Oryctolagus cuniculus: one gene and its partners. The protein of the gene in region 4 purifies or fractionates together with the protein of the main gene of each other region. This does not show direct contact. Links are inferred from orthologs where the notes say so. Each region holds a gene or a part of one and is shown on either strand. Other genes may lie near its edges.

Evidence for each region. The genes of interacting proteins can lie anywhere in the genome.
Region 1: the proteins of CPSF3 (region 4) and CSTF2 purify together in Homo sapiens (affinity purification with mass spectrometry; 3 studies listed by BioGRID and IntAct, with this or other methods). This does not show direct contact. The link is inferred for Oryctolagus cuniculus from reciprocal best matches to the Homo sapiens genes CPSF3 and CSTF2.
Region 2: the proteins of CPSF3 (region 4) and SYMPK fractionate together in Homo sapiens (co-fractionation; 6 studies listed by BioGRID and IntAct, with this or other methods). This does not show direct contact. The link is inferred for Oryctolagus cuniculus from reciprocal best matches to the Homo sapiens genes CPSF3 and SYMPK.
Region 3: the proteins of CPSF3 (region 4) and UBE3D purify together in Homo sapiens (affinity purification with mass spectrometry; 4 studies listed by BioGRID and IntAct, counting the BioPlex papers as one, with this or other methods). This does not show direct contact. The link is inferred for Oryctolagus cuniculus from reciprocal best matches to the Homo sapiens genes CPSF3 and UBE3D.

Annotation. Positions count from the first base shown.
Region 1 is NC_091453.1:91,881,667-91,885,183, forward strand, and holds part of CSTF2 (cleavage stimulation factor subunit 2), read right to left. Parts: intron 2,685-3,517; coding exon 2,561-2,684; intron 1-2,560. UniProt on the Homo sapiens protein: One of the multiple factors required for polyadenylation and 3'-end cleavage of mammalian pre-mRNAs. This subunit is directly involved in the binding to pre-mRNAs.
Region 2 is NC_091449.1:11,189,583-11,193,099, forward strand, and holds part of SYMPK (symplekin), read left to right. Parts: intron 1-587; coding exon 588-742; intron 743-3,517. UniProt on the Homo sapiens protein: Scaffold protein that functions as a component of a multimolecular complex involved in histone mRNA 3'-end processing. Specific component of the tight junction (TJ) plaque, but might not be an exclusively junctional component. May have a house-keeping rule.
Region 3 is NC_091436.1:89,378,497-89,382,013, forward strand, and holds part of UBE3D (E3 ubiquitin-protein ligase E3D), read left to right. Parts: intron 1-1,002; coding exon 1,003-1,171; intron 1,172-3,517. UniProt on the Homo sapiens protein: E3 ubiquitin-protein ligase which accepts ubiquitin from specific E2 ubiquitin-conjugating enzymes, and transfers it to substrates, generally promoting their degradation by the proteasome.
Region 4 is NC_091433.1:192,651,125-192,654,641, forward strand, and holds part of CPSF3 (cleavage and polyadenylation specificity factor subunit 3), read right to left. Parts: intron 3,269-3,517; coding exon 3,118-3,268; intron 1,836-3,117; coding exon 1,660-1,835; intron 1-1,659. UniProt on the Homo sapiens protein: Component of the cleavage and polyadenylation specificity factor (CPSF) complex that plays a key role in pre-mRNA 3'-end formation, recognizing the AAUAAA signal sequence and interacting with poly(A) polymerase and other factors to bring about cleavage and poly(A) addition.

The sequences.
Region 1 (3,517 bases), on a different chromosome or scaffold from region 4:
AAAAAACTTCCCATTGTCATTTGGGAGGGCAAAAGATGTATTCTCTAGTCAAAACATATAAAGCGGGGCCAGCGCTGTGGCTCATTGGTTAATCCTCTGCCTGCGGCACCAGAATCCCATATGGGTGCTGATTCTAGTCCCGGTTGCCCCTCTTCCAGGCCAGCTCTCTGCTGTGGCCCGGGAAGGCAGTGGAGGATGGCCCAAGTGCTTGGGCCCTGCACCCCATGGGAGACCAGGAGAAGCACCTGGCTCCTGGCTTTGGATTGGTGTAGCTCTGGCCGTGGCGGCCATTTGGGGGGAAACCAACGGAAAGAAGACCTTTCTTTCTCTCTCTTTCTAATTCTATCTGTCAAAAAAAAAAAAAAAAACCATATAAAGCTCCCTCTGTACTGGATGAAATTTATTGATTCTATTGTTTACTGTCTCAGTGTCCTTACTTGTTTTTTGTCCACTAGCACAATGCTATTTGAAGTGTGATCCACCAATGGTGCTGATCTATACACTGTATGTTAACAGTTCATGACAAGGTAAGTACAGAAATGGACTGCAGACACATAGAAACATTTTACAGCAATATGAAAATGCTGTGACATTGAAGTGTGTGATCAGTGCACGTGTTTCACTGAACAAAGCATAGACCAGTCTAAGTAAACTTGTGTAACAACCTGCATATATCGTGGGTTGCATATTTGCCATGTGCAGGGCATTACAACTTGAGATATTTTTAAGGTATGCTAGACATGTCTAATTTAAAAATGTATAAAAGGCTGAGCCTATTTCTTTCATTGAGAGAGAATTACAACTCAATTTGATAATGAGCATAAATGAAAATTCTGAGTTTTAGAAATTTCTTTAAAAATCGATTCCTTGTTAACTTAGCTGTGTAGACTTGATTTATCTACAAAACAGAGTAATCTACATTATTCTCATGAGTAGTGTACAGCCAATCTAATATTAGATAAATTAGCCAATAAGCAAGTTTGATTCATAAAAAACTATAAATGTTGAAAATAACTCGGGTTCACACAGGTCTTTCATATAAAGAACTGCTATTTCACTCAGTGTGTTTAGGTACAGTGAAAAGTTAATGGGGGGCTGGCATTGAGGTGCATTGGGTTAAGCAGTAGCTTGCAACACTGGCAACCCATATCAGAGCACTGGTTTGAAGCCCGGATTTTATGCTTCTAATCCAGTTCCCTGCTAATGTGCCTCGAAAGGCAGTAGAAGATGGTCCAAGTACTTGGGCCCCTGCCACTCATATGAGAGACCTGGATGGAATTCCTGGGTCCTGGCTTCAGCCTGGCCTAGTTATAGCTATCGTGGCCATTTGGAGAAATCAACCAGCAGATGGAAGATCTTTCTCTCTTTTCTTCTCTGTCACTCTGCCTTTCAAATAAATAAAATAAAATCTTTTTGAAAAGAAAAGCTAACTGTAATAGCAATATTCTTTGTGTTTTTTTTAAAGATTTATGTATTTATTTCAAAGTCAGAGGTGTAGAGAGGGAGAGGGAGAGGAAGAGGAAGAGGGAGAGGGAGAGGGAGAGGGAGAGGGAGAGGGAGACGGGGAGAAGGAAGGAGGGAAGGAGGGAGGGAGGGAGGGAGAGGGAGAGAAAGAGAGAGAGATCTTTTATCCGATGGTTCACTACCCAAATGGCTGCAATGGCCAGAGTCGGGTCAGACAGAAGCCAGGAGCCAGGAGCCTCTTCTGGATCTCCCTTGTGGGTGCAGGGGCCCAAGCCAAGCATATTAGCAGAGAGCTGGATTGGAAGTGGAGCAGTTGGGACTCCAATCCGTGCCCATATGGGATGCCAGTGTCACAGGTGGTGGCTTTACCAGCCACGCCACAATGCTGGCTTCAATAGCAACATTCTTAATTGTCCACCTATATACTTTCAATGAATATAGAGTTTCCAAATTTATTTCTTTTGTTGGTTAGTCTTATTGTATTTTTTAAAATGCAATTTTAGACTTGCTAAACATAACACATGTGACTATGTACTTTGTGTCTGTTTTCTTCATGAGCTTTTTAACCTAATCTAACAGTTTTCAGCTTTTAGTGGGAGAATTCAATTCATTCACATTTAGCAGGATAACAACTTAAACCAGTTTTTATTTCTTCTATCTTACTCTACATTTATTTTTACTTATTTTACATTGTCTTTTCCTTTAATTTTTTCTGGCTTGTTTTAGCTTCCATTCATTTCATTTTCCCCCTTGTTAATTTGGAAGTTTTACTCCAAGTTTCCACTTGAGTGTCCCATATAATCAGATATTTAAGGATTTGTGTATAAGAAATCAACTATTTCCTTCCTCCGGGATATATAATTTCTAGCTGTATGAGGGGACTTCAAAAAGTTTATAGAAAATGAAGTTGAAAGATAACTTGATTTTGGTGCAAATTGTACAGTATGCAAATTCCATGGACTTTTTAAAGTACTCTCCTATATTAACTTTATATCAAGATCCTATTACCACATAATACTTTGGCTACACTGCAGCAGTTGCTATGACAACATTTCAACAAAGTACAGAAATGGTGTCGACTTGAAATGAAAGTTACCTCCAGGAGCTAAGGAACCAGGGCCAGGTCCTGTGACAGCAGCGGCCATCTGCCCTGGTGCTGGAACACCACCTGGCATAGAAGCTTGCATCAGAGGAGGTGCGCCATTGACGTGCATTCCACCCTGATCAAGACAAAAAAACACAGTATGTACTTGCTTTCATGAAGACTTAATACACTAAGTCTGCGATTTTAAAGTTCATCAAATTGACAGCTCCAAGTATGATACCATACGTTCTTTTTGTATAATATGTCTTACATGGCATTAGATCTAACACACATTTTGAATTCCACAGAAACAAGCTGTAATATATATCATGAGCCTGGTTATATGGAACACAGTTACTATGCAACATATTCTACAAGTTGAATTGATAAGCCTTATCTGTGTGGCAAGGCATCATGAAGCATCTGTTGTCAACTTCATGACTGGGGCCTGGCATTAAGATTAACAACAACAACAAGTGTCTTGAATACAAGAGGAAAAAGAGGCTGGGACTTTTTAAAAAAGTAACCTAGCCACCTGTTTTTAAGAGGAAAAAAAACTTTTTTAAATTTGATAAATTTTCCCTCATTCCTGTCCTCAGATATAATTCTGGTCTGGGGGGAATGTCATATTTTTTTAAAGACTTGAGTTTCACCGAGGTCTCACATGTGGGTGGCAGGGGCCCAAGCACTTGGAACATCTTCTGCAGCTGGGATCAAACTGGTGCCAATATGGGATGCCGGCATCACAGGTTGAGGCCTAACTCATTACATCACAACACAGACACCAAAATGTTATTAATGCTATTTTTAAAAGATTTTTTTACTTATGTACTTGAAAGGTAGAATTACAGAGAGAGGAGGGGGCTGGCGCTGTGGCTCACTTGGCTAATCCTCCACCTGTGGCACCGGCATCCCATATGGGCACTGGGTTCTAGTCCCTGTTGCTCCTCTTCCAGTCCAGCTCTCTGC
Region 2 (3,517 bases), on a different chromosome or scaffold from region 4:
CGCCGTTTCTCTGCGGAGCAGCGGCGAATCCCCTAGACATTTGGTCTTCGATGTGAGCCCCTAGGGGAGACACCCAGAAGTGGTGCTGCTGTGGCGACAGGGGCGTGCACACTCGAAGCAGGGTGTGCTGTCCGACGGCGCTCCCAGAGGTGTTTGTACGCAGCACGCCCCTCCTGCGACAGTGCAGGCTTCTGGGGTTTGCCAGCACATCAGCAGGAAGTGCGACCTGAACAGGTTTGGGGGTTGTACTTCCCAAGCTCCTGGTCAAAGACAGAACCTTTTAAACAGTTTAAACAGTTAAGCGTGTGAATTGATTGGCTGACGTTGTCTTCCGGCTTCTTGAGATCGGCTCGAGGGGTATGGCTCATTCCCATTTCCCAGATGCAGAGAGCAGAGGCCCAGAGACAGGCAGTTGGCCAGGGTTGATGGCGCTTTGATGGCAGAGGCAGAGTTGCTGCCTGGATCTTCATCCACGGTGGGGCTGCCGTCTGCTGGGCCTGCCTGGACACGTGGGCTTCCTGGGAACGGGCTGGGTCGGGGCTGCTGTTCTCTCTAGAACCACATCCTGTTCTCTCTCCCGATCCTAGAGCCCAACCTGGGGGAAGACGACGAGGACAAGGACTTAGAGCCAGGCCCATCGGGGACCTCCAAGGCCTCGGCCCAGCTCTCAGGCCAGTCAGACACAGACATCACAGCCGAGTTCCTGCAGCCTCTGCTGACGCCCGACAATGTGGCCAATCTGGTGAGGCTGGGCGGTGTCAGGAACCCCGTGAATTGATGATTGGGATTGGGCATTGGGGGGCCAGGATGGCCGGCGCCTTCCTCAGATTCTCAGGGATATAGTGACCTGCAGGGCGGGCGCCAGCCTGCAGCCATGCCGGGCCCACATGTTCCCACTGGGCACTGGGGAGGAGGCCTCGTCCCAGGCCCAGCAGCAGCCACCCTCCGCCTCCCCTCCACCTGGGGACTCTGAGAGCAGAGTTGCTGTGTCAGTGGGATTTTGGTCACGGGGAAGTGAGAAGGAGTTTTCTCTCCGCTCAGATCTCTGGTGGCTTCAGGCCTGACAACGAGCCGCCGCCTGCTTCCCCCGCCCCGTATGTCCCTGGGCATTGCAGACTCAACATCTGAACGCACACTGGGAAATCTCCCCACACTCCCCTGCAGGCCTGCGGCCCTCCCACGCCCTCCTTGGCAGGCCAGCTTCCCAGATCCCAAGCCAGCAACCGGTGTTAACCTCTTCACTCTCCCCCTTCCGCCCAGCCCCTGCCCTGCTGTGGGCCCACCTGCACTTGCTGCCCGGCTCCGGCCACCTCCAGTCGCTGGCCGTGCGGAGTTTGCAGAGTTAGCTTCAGGCCACACCTCTGCTCTGACGCCAGCCGTGGTTCTCTGTTCACGCGGAATTTAAACTCAGCTCACCAGGGGAGGCCTCTGATTTGGCTTCTGTGATCCTGTTGTACCTTTCTCAGCTTGTCTCACTCTGGAAAATCGTCCTCTTCACATTTGTTGCCAGGATGTTGGTGGTTTTTTTTTTTTTTTTTTTTAAGATTTATTTATTTATTTGAAAGTCAGAGTTACACAGAGAAAAGAAAAAGAGAGGCAGAGAGAGAGAGATCTTCCATCCGATGATTCACTCCCCAGTTGGCCACAACGGCCAGAGCTGCGCCAATGTGAAGCCAGGAGCCAGGAGCTTCCCTGTGGTCTCCCACGTGGGTGCAGGGGCCCAAGGACTTGGGCCATCCTCCACTGCTTTCCCAGGCGATAGCAGAGAGCTGGACTGGAAGTGGAGCAGCCGGGACTAGAACCGGCGCCCATATGGGATGCCGGTGCTGCAGGCCAGGGGGTTAACCCTCTGCACCGCAGCACCGGCCCCGGTGGTTCTTTCACAGTTGGAGAAGCCCGGCTGTCTCTGGTGCAGGCCCCCTCTGCTTTGCGGTACCTCGCCATGTCCAGCCTTGCCTTGGACATACATGCTGGTTTTTTATCATTCCAAGAACTGGCTCTTTGTTTTGCTGATTCTTTTTTTTCCCTTTATTAAAATATTTATTTATTTATTTTGAAAGGCAGTGTTAGAGAGGGAGAGAGATCTTCTATCCACTGGTTCACTCCCCAGATGACTGCAATGGCCGGGGCTGGGCCAGTCCAAAGCCAGGAGCTTCTTCCAGGTCTCCCATGTGGGTGCAGGGGCCCAGGCACTCGGTGCATCAGCAGGGAGCTGGATCGGAAGTGGAGCAGCTGGGACTTGGACCAGCATTGCAGGCGGTGGCTGTACCCGCTGCGTCACAACACTGGCCCCTTGCTGATTCTTTTATAACCTTCTCTGTTGCTTTTATTGTGTTCTGGTAGTTTCTTTGAATGTTTGTCCCAAAGTTTCAAATTCAGTGCTTGGTTCATTAATTTTCAATCATCTTTTCCAATGTAAGTATTTTCAGGGTGTGTGATTTTCCATCTGAATACCATTTTAGCTGCATTCCACATACTTTGATATGCAGTAATCTCATTATCTTTCTGTTGTAATTATTTTATTATTTAATATATGCATTTAAGGTTTGGAATGTATTGAGCATTTAAAATTACCTTTCATTACCAATTCCTAAAATATGTGGGTGTTCTGGTAGGGTGCTGGGTTTTTTGTTTGCTTGCTTTTCTATTTTTAAATTTATTTTATTTGAGAGAGAGGTGCTCCATCTGATAGTTCATTCCCCCAATACGCCCAATAGCTAGAGCTGGGCCAGCTTGAAGCCAGGAGACAGGAGCTCCATGCAGGTCTCCCATGGGTGGCAGGGACCCGAGTACTTGCATTATCTGCTCCCTCCCAGGCAGGTTAGCAAGAAGCTGGATTACAAGTGGAGCAAGCAGGGGTCAAAGCAAGACTGACGCAGGCTGCAGCATCCCAAGCAGCAGTTCAGCTGAGAGAAAGGGAGAGACAGACACACACAGAGGTCTTCCATCCACTGGTTCACTCCCCAGCTGCCTCTAGTGGCCATGGCAGGTCTCCCACATGTGTGCAGGGCCCAAGGACTTGGGCCGTCTTCCGCTGCTTTCCCCGGCGCATTAGCAGGGAGCTGGATTGAAATTGGAGCAGCCGGGACTCGAACCAGCATCACAGGCGGCTTCACTCCACTGTGCCACAGCACCGGCCCCCACCCCAGCTTGTTTTTAAGTCCATTTCCCACCCATCCAGTCTTCACTGAGCCTCTTTGCGTGCTGTGGACATTCTGTTGCCCTTCAACCTTCTCCCATGCTGCTCCTGCACCTGCAGTCGACTTCCCTAAGCCCGGCGGCTCCTTGCCCTCTCCTCAGTTCCCGCCCTACCTGCTGCTTCCCTGGGAGCGGAAGCCTCGGGAGGCCTCTGGGTGCAGCTCCGGCCACCTCCTCTTTTCTCAGCCACACCGAGAACAACTGTGTTGTTCCCGCTGACTGCCCCCAAAGCGGGGCTGCGCCGCAGTAGCCCTGGCTGTGGCCTGGTCGTGGGCTGGAGGCTGTTGAGCTCACAGTTAAGAGAGGCTCTTCTTCCGGG
Region 3 (3,517 bases), on a different chromosome or scaffold from region 4:
TTTGTATATGTCCTCTAATTCCAGGCTTTATGTGATTGTGTTCAAATGTGTCTCTAGAAAGGATGGCAAAGAAATGTACTCTCATGTAATAAGTAGTTACTTATCTTTGAATAGTAAGAAAAAGATGATTTTTGGCCGGCACCATGGCTCACTTGGTTAATCCTCTGCCTGCGGTGCTGGCACCCCGGATTCTAGTCCCGGTTGCTCCTCTTCCAGTCCAGCTCTCTGCTGTGGCCCGGGAGAGCAGCGGAGGATGGCCCAAGTGCTTGGCCCCCTGCACCCGCATGGGAGACCAAGAGGAAGCACCTGGCTCCTGGCTTCAGATCGGCGCAGTGCCGGCCGTAGCGGCCATTAGGGGAGTGAACCAACGGAAGGAAGACCTCTCTCTCTCTGTCTCTCTCACTGTCTATAACTCTCTCTCTCTCACTGTCTAACTCTGCCTGTGCCTGTCAAAAAAAAAAAAAAAAAGGATGATTTTTGCTTTCTTTATACTTCGCATTTTCAAACAATCTGTAGTGAGTGTATATTACTTTTTTTTTTTTTTTGACAGGCAGAGTGGACAGTGAGAGAGAGAGACAGAGATAAAGGTCTTCCTTTGCCGTTTGTTCACCCTCCAATGGCCGCCGTGGCCGGCACACCGCGTTGATCTAATGGCAGGAGCCAGGTACTTATCCTGGTCTCCCATGGGGTGCAGGGCCCAAGCACTTGGGCCATCCTCCACTGCACTCCCTGGCCACAGCAGAGAGCTGGCCTGGAAGAGGGGCAACCGGGACAGAATCCGGCGCCCAGACTGGGACTAGACCCCGGTGTTCCGGTGCCGCAAGGCGGAGGATTAGCCTAGTGAGCCGTGGCGCCGGCCCGAGTGTATATTACTTTTATAAGTTGGGAGAAAATTAACATAGCAAGCCATGTGGCTAATGGGTCCCTCTCATTTTTCATGCTGATTTAATTATTAAAATGTTAGTTCCATCTGTGAAAAATAGATTTTCCTCTTTCCATTAGGAAGCTCCTGAGGATACTGCCACTTCCAAGTGAGAACTGGGGAGCTCTAGTTGGAGAATGGTGCTGCCATCCTGACCCCTTTGCTAACAAGCCACTACATCCACAAGAGAATGACTGTCTCATTGGCGATTCTTTCTTCTTGGTGAAGTTAAGAAGTGATAGGTGGCAGGTAAGACCTGAACTAGTTCCAGTGGGAAGATTGTATGTTTCTTTCTTTTTTTTTTTTTTTTTAAAGATTGATTGATTTATTTGAAAGGCAATGTTACAGAGAGAGAGAAGAGACAGAGAGATCTTCCATCAGTTGGTTCACTCCTCAAATAGCTACAATGGCTGGCTGGTGCGCTGGGGCAGTGTGCAGCCAGGAGCCAGGAGCTTCCTTCGGGTCTCCCACATGGGTGCAGGAGCCCAAGGGCTTTGGCCATCTTCTTCTGCTTTCCCAGGTACACTAGCAGGGAGCTGCATTGGAAATGGAACAACTGGGACTCAAACCAGCACTCTTATGGGATGCTGGCACTGCAGGTGGCAGCTTTACCTGCTATGGGACGGTGCTGGTCCCTATATTTCTTTTGAGAACCATTTTAAGTTGGTGAAATATCTTTTCAAAATAATTGCTAATTTAGAGATGTCTCAGGTTCTAGTCCTCTAAGCTTTCTTTCTTTCTTTCTTTTTTTTTTTTTAAGTTTTTCTTAAGGTTTGTTTATTTGAAAGGCAGTTAACAGAGATAGAGGGAGAGACAGAGAGATCTTCCGTGCTCTGGTTCACTTCCCAAATGACAGCAATATCTAACCCACACCCATGTAGGATGCCAGTATTCCAAGCAGTGGCTTAATCTGCAGAGCTCCAGGCTGGTTTCCAATTTTTCTTAATTTATTATTTGTTATTTTCAGTGGCCTCTGTTCTCCAGCTTTGCCCTATGCATATAGGAGGAGCATGTAGCATTAAATTAAAATAGTCACAGGTGGCCAGGGACTAAGGAGGAAAGGACTCCATGTGCAGAATTGGGAATGCTACCATCTTACACACCAACATGCCCTACTTTCTTGTTGTTAGGTCACTATTCCATTATCCATATGCATTTTAACCTTAGTAATCTGACAAGTTAAAAGTGTGTTTGACCTAACAATTAGGGTCCCTAGAGTGTCTGGGTTCATTTCCAAGCTCTGGCTTCTGATGCCAGCTTCCTGCTAATGCAAACCCTGGGAGGCAGCAGCGATGGCTCAAGGGTTTGAGTTCCCATGTGGGAGAGCTGTGTTGAGCTGGTGGCTCCTGGCTTCAGCTTCTGCCAAGCCCTGGCTGGCTGACACAGGCATTGAGAGTGAACCATAGGATGGGAACTTTCTCTCTATTTGCCTCTCAAAAAATGATGTGGAGGGGAGGAGCCCTTGTTCCCACAGGTGCCTGGAGATCTCTGCTACACAATTAGGCCTAGGTATTTTTACTGTATCTGTTGGTAGTCTAGACTTGTGATGTTCTGAAAGCAGTGCTGTCATGGAAAAGGAGGCAAATGGAGGAGCCCAGGAGTGGAGATAAAGCTTATGCTGCAGGGTCTAGGATGACACTTGGCAGCGTAGGGTCAGACGGTGCTTGCTTTGTAGGCTGCTTTGGGGAGGAGGCAATTTCCTCTCCCTGCAGAAAACAAGTGGTTTACTTTAAGAGAAAATCAATGGCATTGGTTTGGCTGTTGTGAGGAACCATTCCCCCAGTCAATACAGATGTGATTTAAAAAGTAAAATCAATGTCAAGGAATCTTCATTTTAACATCTGATTATTAGTAGGAACAAAAACGTATTTTAAATTTCGTTTACAGCTCATTTAATTTTTGTAGTAACAGCTGAGCTACTGCAGGACCTGCAAAGCAATTGGACAGATCTTAGTTATAAATTAGTTTATAGATCTATTTTGAATATTAAGGAAATTCATCAAATATCCAGGTTTAATTGTCAGATAACATTGTTTAAATGTCTTATTTCTCACCATAAACAGAAATCCCTTTATCTAAATAAGGCACACTTTAAATTACAGTGTTTTAGCAGCCTCTGTTGTTGAAAGATATGTTAAGAAGTTAATATAATTTTTTTTATATTTAATAATCTTAAATTTATATTTTAATCTAGACTACATACCTACATTGTTATTGTTATTAACTTCTGTTTTTGTGATTAAGGTCTACATTTTAAAAATATTTGAAAGGTGTGAGTGAAAGAAGATTAAATGAGACAAGCCAGGCTTCCCTTTGTAGATGAACTCTACCCTCTATGCTGGCATAATATTCTTCACATATATGCCTTTATCAGTTACATGATGCCATTTACTGTAGTTTCTCTTCATTGTAAATAGTCATCTGTGTGTTAAAGGAAGAGCCTTCACAGTTAGACATTATAGTTTTTAGTATGGAGGGCACTGTGGGAAATTACTCTCAGGACAATCTGCTATTGGCAAGATTGTTATCAAGTTAGCCTGGATGGAAGTTTCACTTTAATTGCATATTGTAGCCATTGAAAGAGTGTGCCTGTGA
Region 4 (3,517 bases):
GAGTCCAGGGGGTCTCCACCCACCCAAGACAGAACTCCCGGAGAACTGATCCAGACTCCCCACGACCGCAGGTTTCAACATTCTGAGCCAGCCTGGCATTCGTATTTTTTCTTTTTTTAAGAGATTATTTACTTATTTGACAGACAGAGTTATTCAAAGGAGAGAGAGAAAGAGAAAGAAAGAAAGAGAGAGAGAGAGATGTCTTCTGTCCACCGATTCACTTCCCAGATGGCCTTAATGTGCCAGGCAAAAGCCAGGGGCTGGAAGCTTTGTCTGTCCGGGTCACCCTTACGGATGGCAGGGGCCCAAGCACTTGGGCCATCCTCCACTGCTTTCCAGGCTCATCAGCAGGGAGCTGGATCAGAACTGGAGCTGCTCAGACTCTAACAGGAGCCTAGCTGGCCCCGCCATCTTAGCATTCTGACCAAAAAGTTTACAACTATTTCAAGGGAAAACTTGGCTCTAAATCTTAAACAACTGACTTAAAAAATACATACTTCAAAGACAGAGCCTTGGGGCCAGTGCTGTGGTGTAGTGGGTTAAGCCTCTCCTTGTGGTGCCAGCATCCCATATGGACACCGGTTCTAGTCCCGGCTGCTCCTCTTCCGGTCCAGCTCTCTGCTATGGCCCAGGAAAGCAGAAGATGGCCCAAGTCCTTGGGGCCCTGCACCCACGTGGGAGACCTAGAAGAAGCTCCTGGCTCTGGATTGGCCCAGCTCCGGCTGTTGCAGCCATCAGGGAAGTAAACCAGAGGATGGAAACACCCCACCCCACCCCCCCGTCTTTAACTCTGGCTCTCAAATAAATAAATCTTTAAAAAAAATGAAAGTAAAAATAAAGGCAAAGCCTATTTACTCAAAGCTCACTTAAAACTTAAAATTACTTTGGGTATTATCCTATTATCATTAAAGCACTAACTGGAACGAAACAATCTCTTTAAATAAAATCAGACTTAGTGAATGCTTCAGAAAAGTAAACATGAAATGATTAGATTTGAGTGAGAGTAGAGGAATGATGTTAACACAAAATGTTTTCTTCTTAGTAGAAGTTTTTTTGTTTATTTATTTATTTATTTTTTGACAGGCAGAGTGGACAGTGAGAGAGAGAGACAGAGAGAAAGGTCTTCCTTTTGCCGTTGGTTCACCCTCCAATGGCCGCCACGGCTGGCGCGCTGCAGCCGGCGCACTGCGCTGATCCGATGGCAGGAGCCAGGTACTTATCCTGGTCTCCTATGGGGTGCAGGGCTCAAGCACTTGGGCCATCCTCCACTGCACTCCCGGGCCACAGCAGAGAGCTGGCCTGGAAGAGGGGCAACCGGGACAGAATCCGGCGCCCCGACCGGGACTAGAACCCAGTGTGCTGGCGCTGCAAGGCGGAGGATTAGCCTAGTGAGCCGCGGCGCCGGCTACTTAGAAGTTTTAACCAAGTACTTAGCAATGGTAAAGACTGAGGCCACAGGGAGAGACCAGGGCCACATCCGCTCATACAAAGAACGAACGCCAGTCGCTGGGATTCTGATTTCGGGCAGAGAAATGCCACCTGCTAGAAAAGAGCCCTGCTTTCCCCGGCGGAGGTCAGCCACAGCCAACGGCAGGCACCGCCACCAAGGGTGGTCTGCATGTCCCCGCTCCTGTCCTTCGTCCTTCCACGAGCACTCACCTTGAGGTTACTGATGTGTTTGAAGACAAAGGGGTTGTTGATGTTGATCTGTTTGCGGATCTTGTCGTTCATGGCGTTGACGTACGTCTGGTACACGGCCATGCACTTCTTGGCCAGGGATGAGGCGTAGTATATGGGAATGTCATGCAGCTCTGGGTGATTCTGCCAGTACTCATCTGGAGAGGTTTTACAAGAAGCACAAACTGTGTTATGCTGCATAAATAGCTCAAATAAAATATGATGCACATGAGTAAGTTTCTAAAATTCAGAAAACCAAGAAGTGAATTAAAGCATTCAACTATGTTTAAGAGAGTTACAAAAAATTAGTTGGATCCTTACCAACTTAAACTCACAAATCCAAAAGTTATTTCTAAATACTAATATACCACCCCCAAAAATCCTGTGATTGTAGAACAAGGGGTGGAGGCTTTTAAAAATGACAGGGGTGGGGGCCGGCACTGTGGCACAGTGGGTAGAGCTGCTGCCTGCAGTGCCAGTATCCCATATGGGCGCTGGTTCGAGTCCTGGCTGCTCCACTTCTAATCCAACCCTTTACTATGGCCTGGGAATGCAACAGAAGATGGCCCAAGTGCTTGGGCCCCTGCACCCATGTGGGAGACCCGGAGGAGGCTCCTGGCTCCTGGCTCCAGATTGGCGCACCTCTGGCAATTGCGGCCAGTTGGGGAGTGAACCAGTAGTTGGAAGATCTCTCTCTTTCTTTCTCTGCCTCTGTTTCTCTCTCTGTGTAACTTTGACTTTCAAATAAATAAATAAATCTTAAAAAAAAAAAAAAAAAAAAAGACTGGGGTGGGGGGCCCTGGTGCTGTGGTGCAGTGGGCTAAGCCCCGGTCTGCAGTGCTGGTATCCGCATGGGTGCCAGTTTGAGTCGTGGCTGCTCCGCTTCAGATCCAGCTCTCTGCTAACGTGCCTAGGAGAGCAGCTGAGGATGGCCCAAGCCCTGGGCCCCTGTACCCACGTGGGAGACCTTGAGGGAGCTCCTGGATCCCAGCTTCAGCCTGGCATAGCCCTGGCTGTTGCGGCCATTTGGCGAATGAACTGGTAGATGATCTCTCTCTGCCCCTCCTTCTGTCTTTCTAACTTTGCCTTTCAAACGAATAAATAAATCTTAAAAATTGCTCTGATTCCAATCCAGCTTCCTGCTCATGTGCCTGGGAAGGCGGCAGAAGATACCCAAGTACGTGGGCCTCTGCCACCCATGTGAGAGACCAGGATAGAGTTTCTGCTGGTCAGAGAATTCACACCATTTAAGGCTTCCAGGGCTGACGGCACAGAATGGTATGCCAGCTTCTGCTCCCAAGGGCAGTGCCCAGGGTTGCTGGTTCGCTGGATTCTTATTAGAAAGCAAAGCTCAGAAAGGCGGCGCGACGCAGCCAAGGCTCTGTCATCATCTCGCTAGAACGGTGCAGGTTTGAGAAGCTTCCAAAGGAAGAGGCACACCTAGAATCAGGAGGAGCTCCTGAGCCCTCCCGAGAGCGAAGACGGGAATGAGACCGCGGCCTCCTCTGTTCACGATGTCGTGGACAGTGTTACAGAATCTTGCTTCTCGCTCTTCACGCTTCTCGTGGATATGGGTCCCGTAAGTCGATTCCTACATAACACACGAAAAACGTGACACCAAGACCAGTGATGCCCAGAGAGTCACAAAGGGAAACGTCAGCGAGACGCTGAGGCAAACAAAGTGATTCACTTCTCAGTTAACATGCCATTTGCTTGAGCACATAGTATTACAGGATTAATCAGAAAGAACCGCAAGTAAGAACAGCAGAATTCAGTTCCGAGTGATAAGAAATTCTCAAAAAACGGGATCAGGAAATAGTCCAAATATGTACAGAAATGT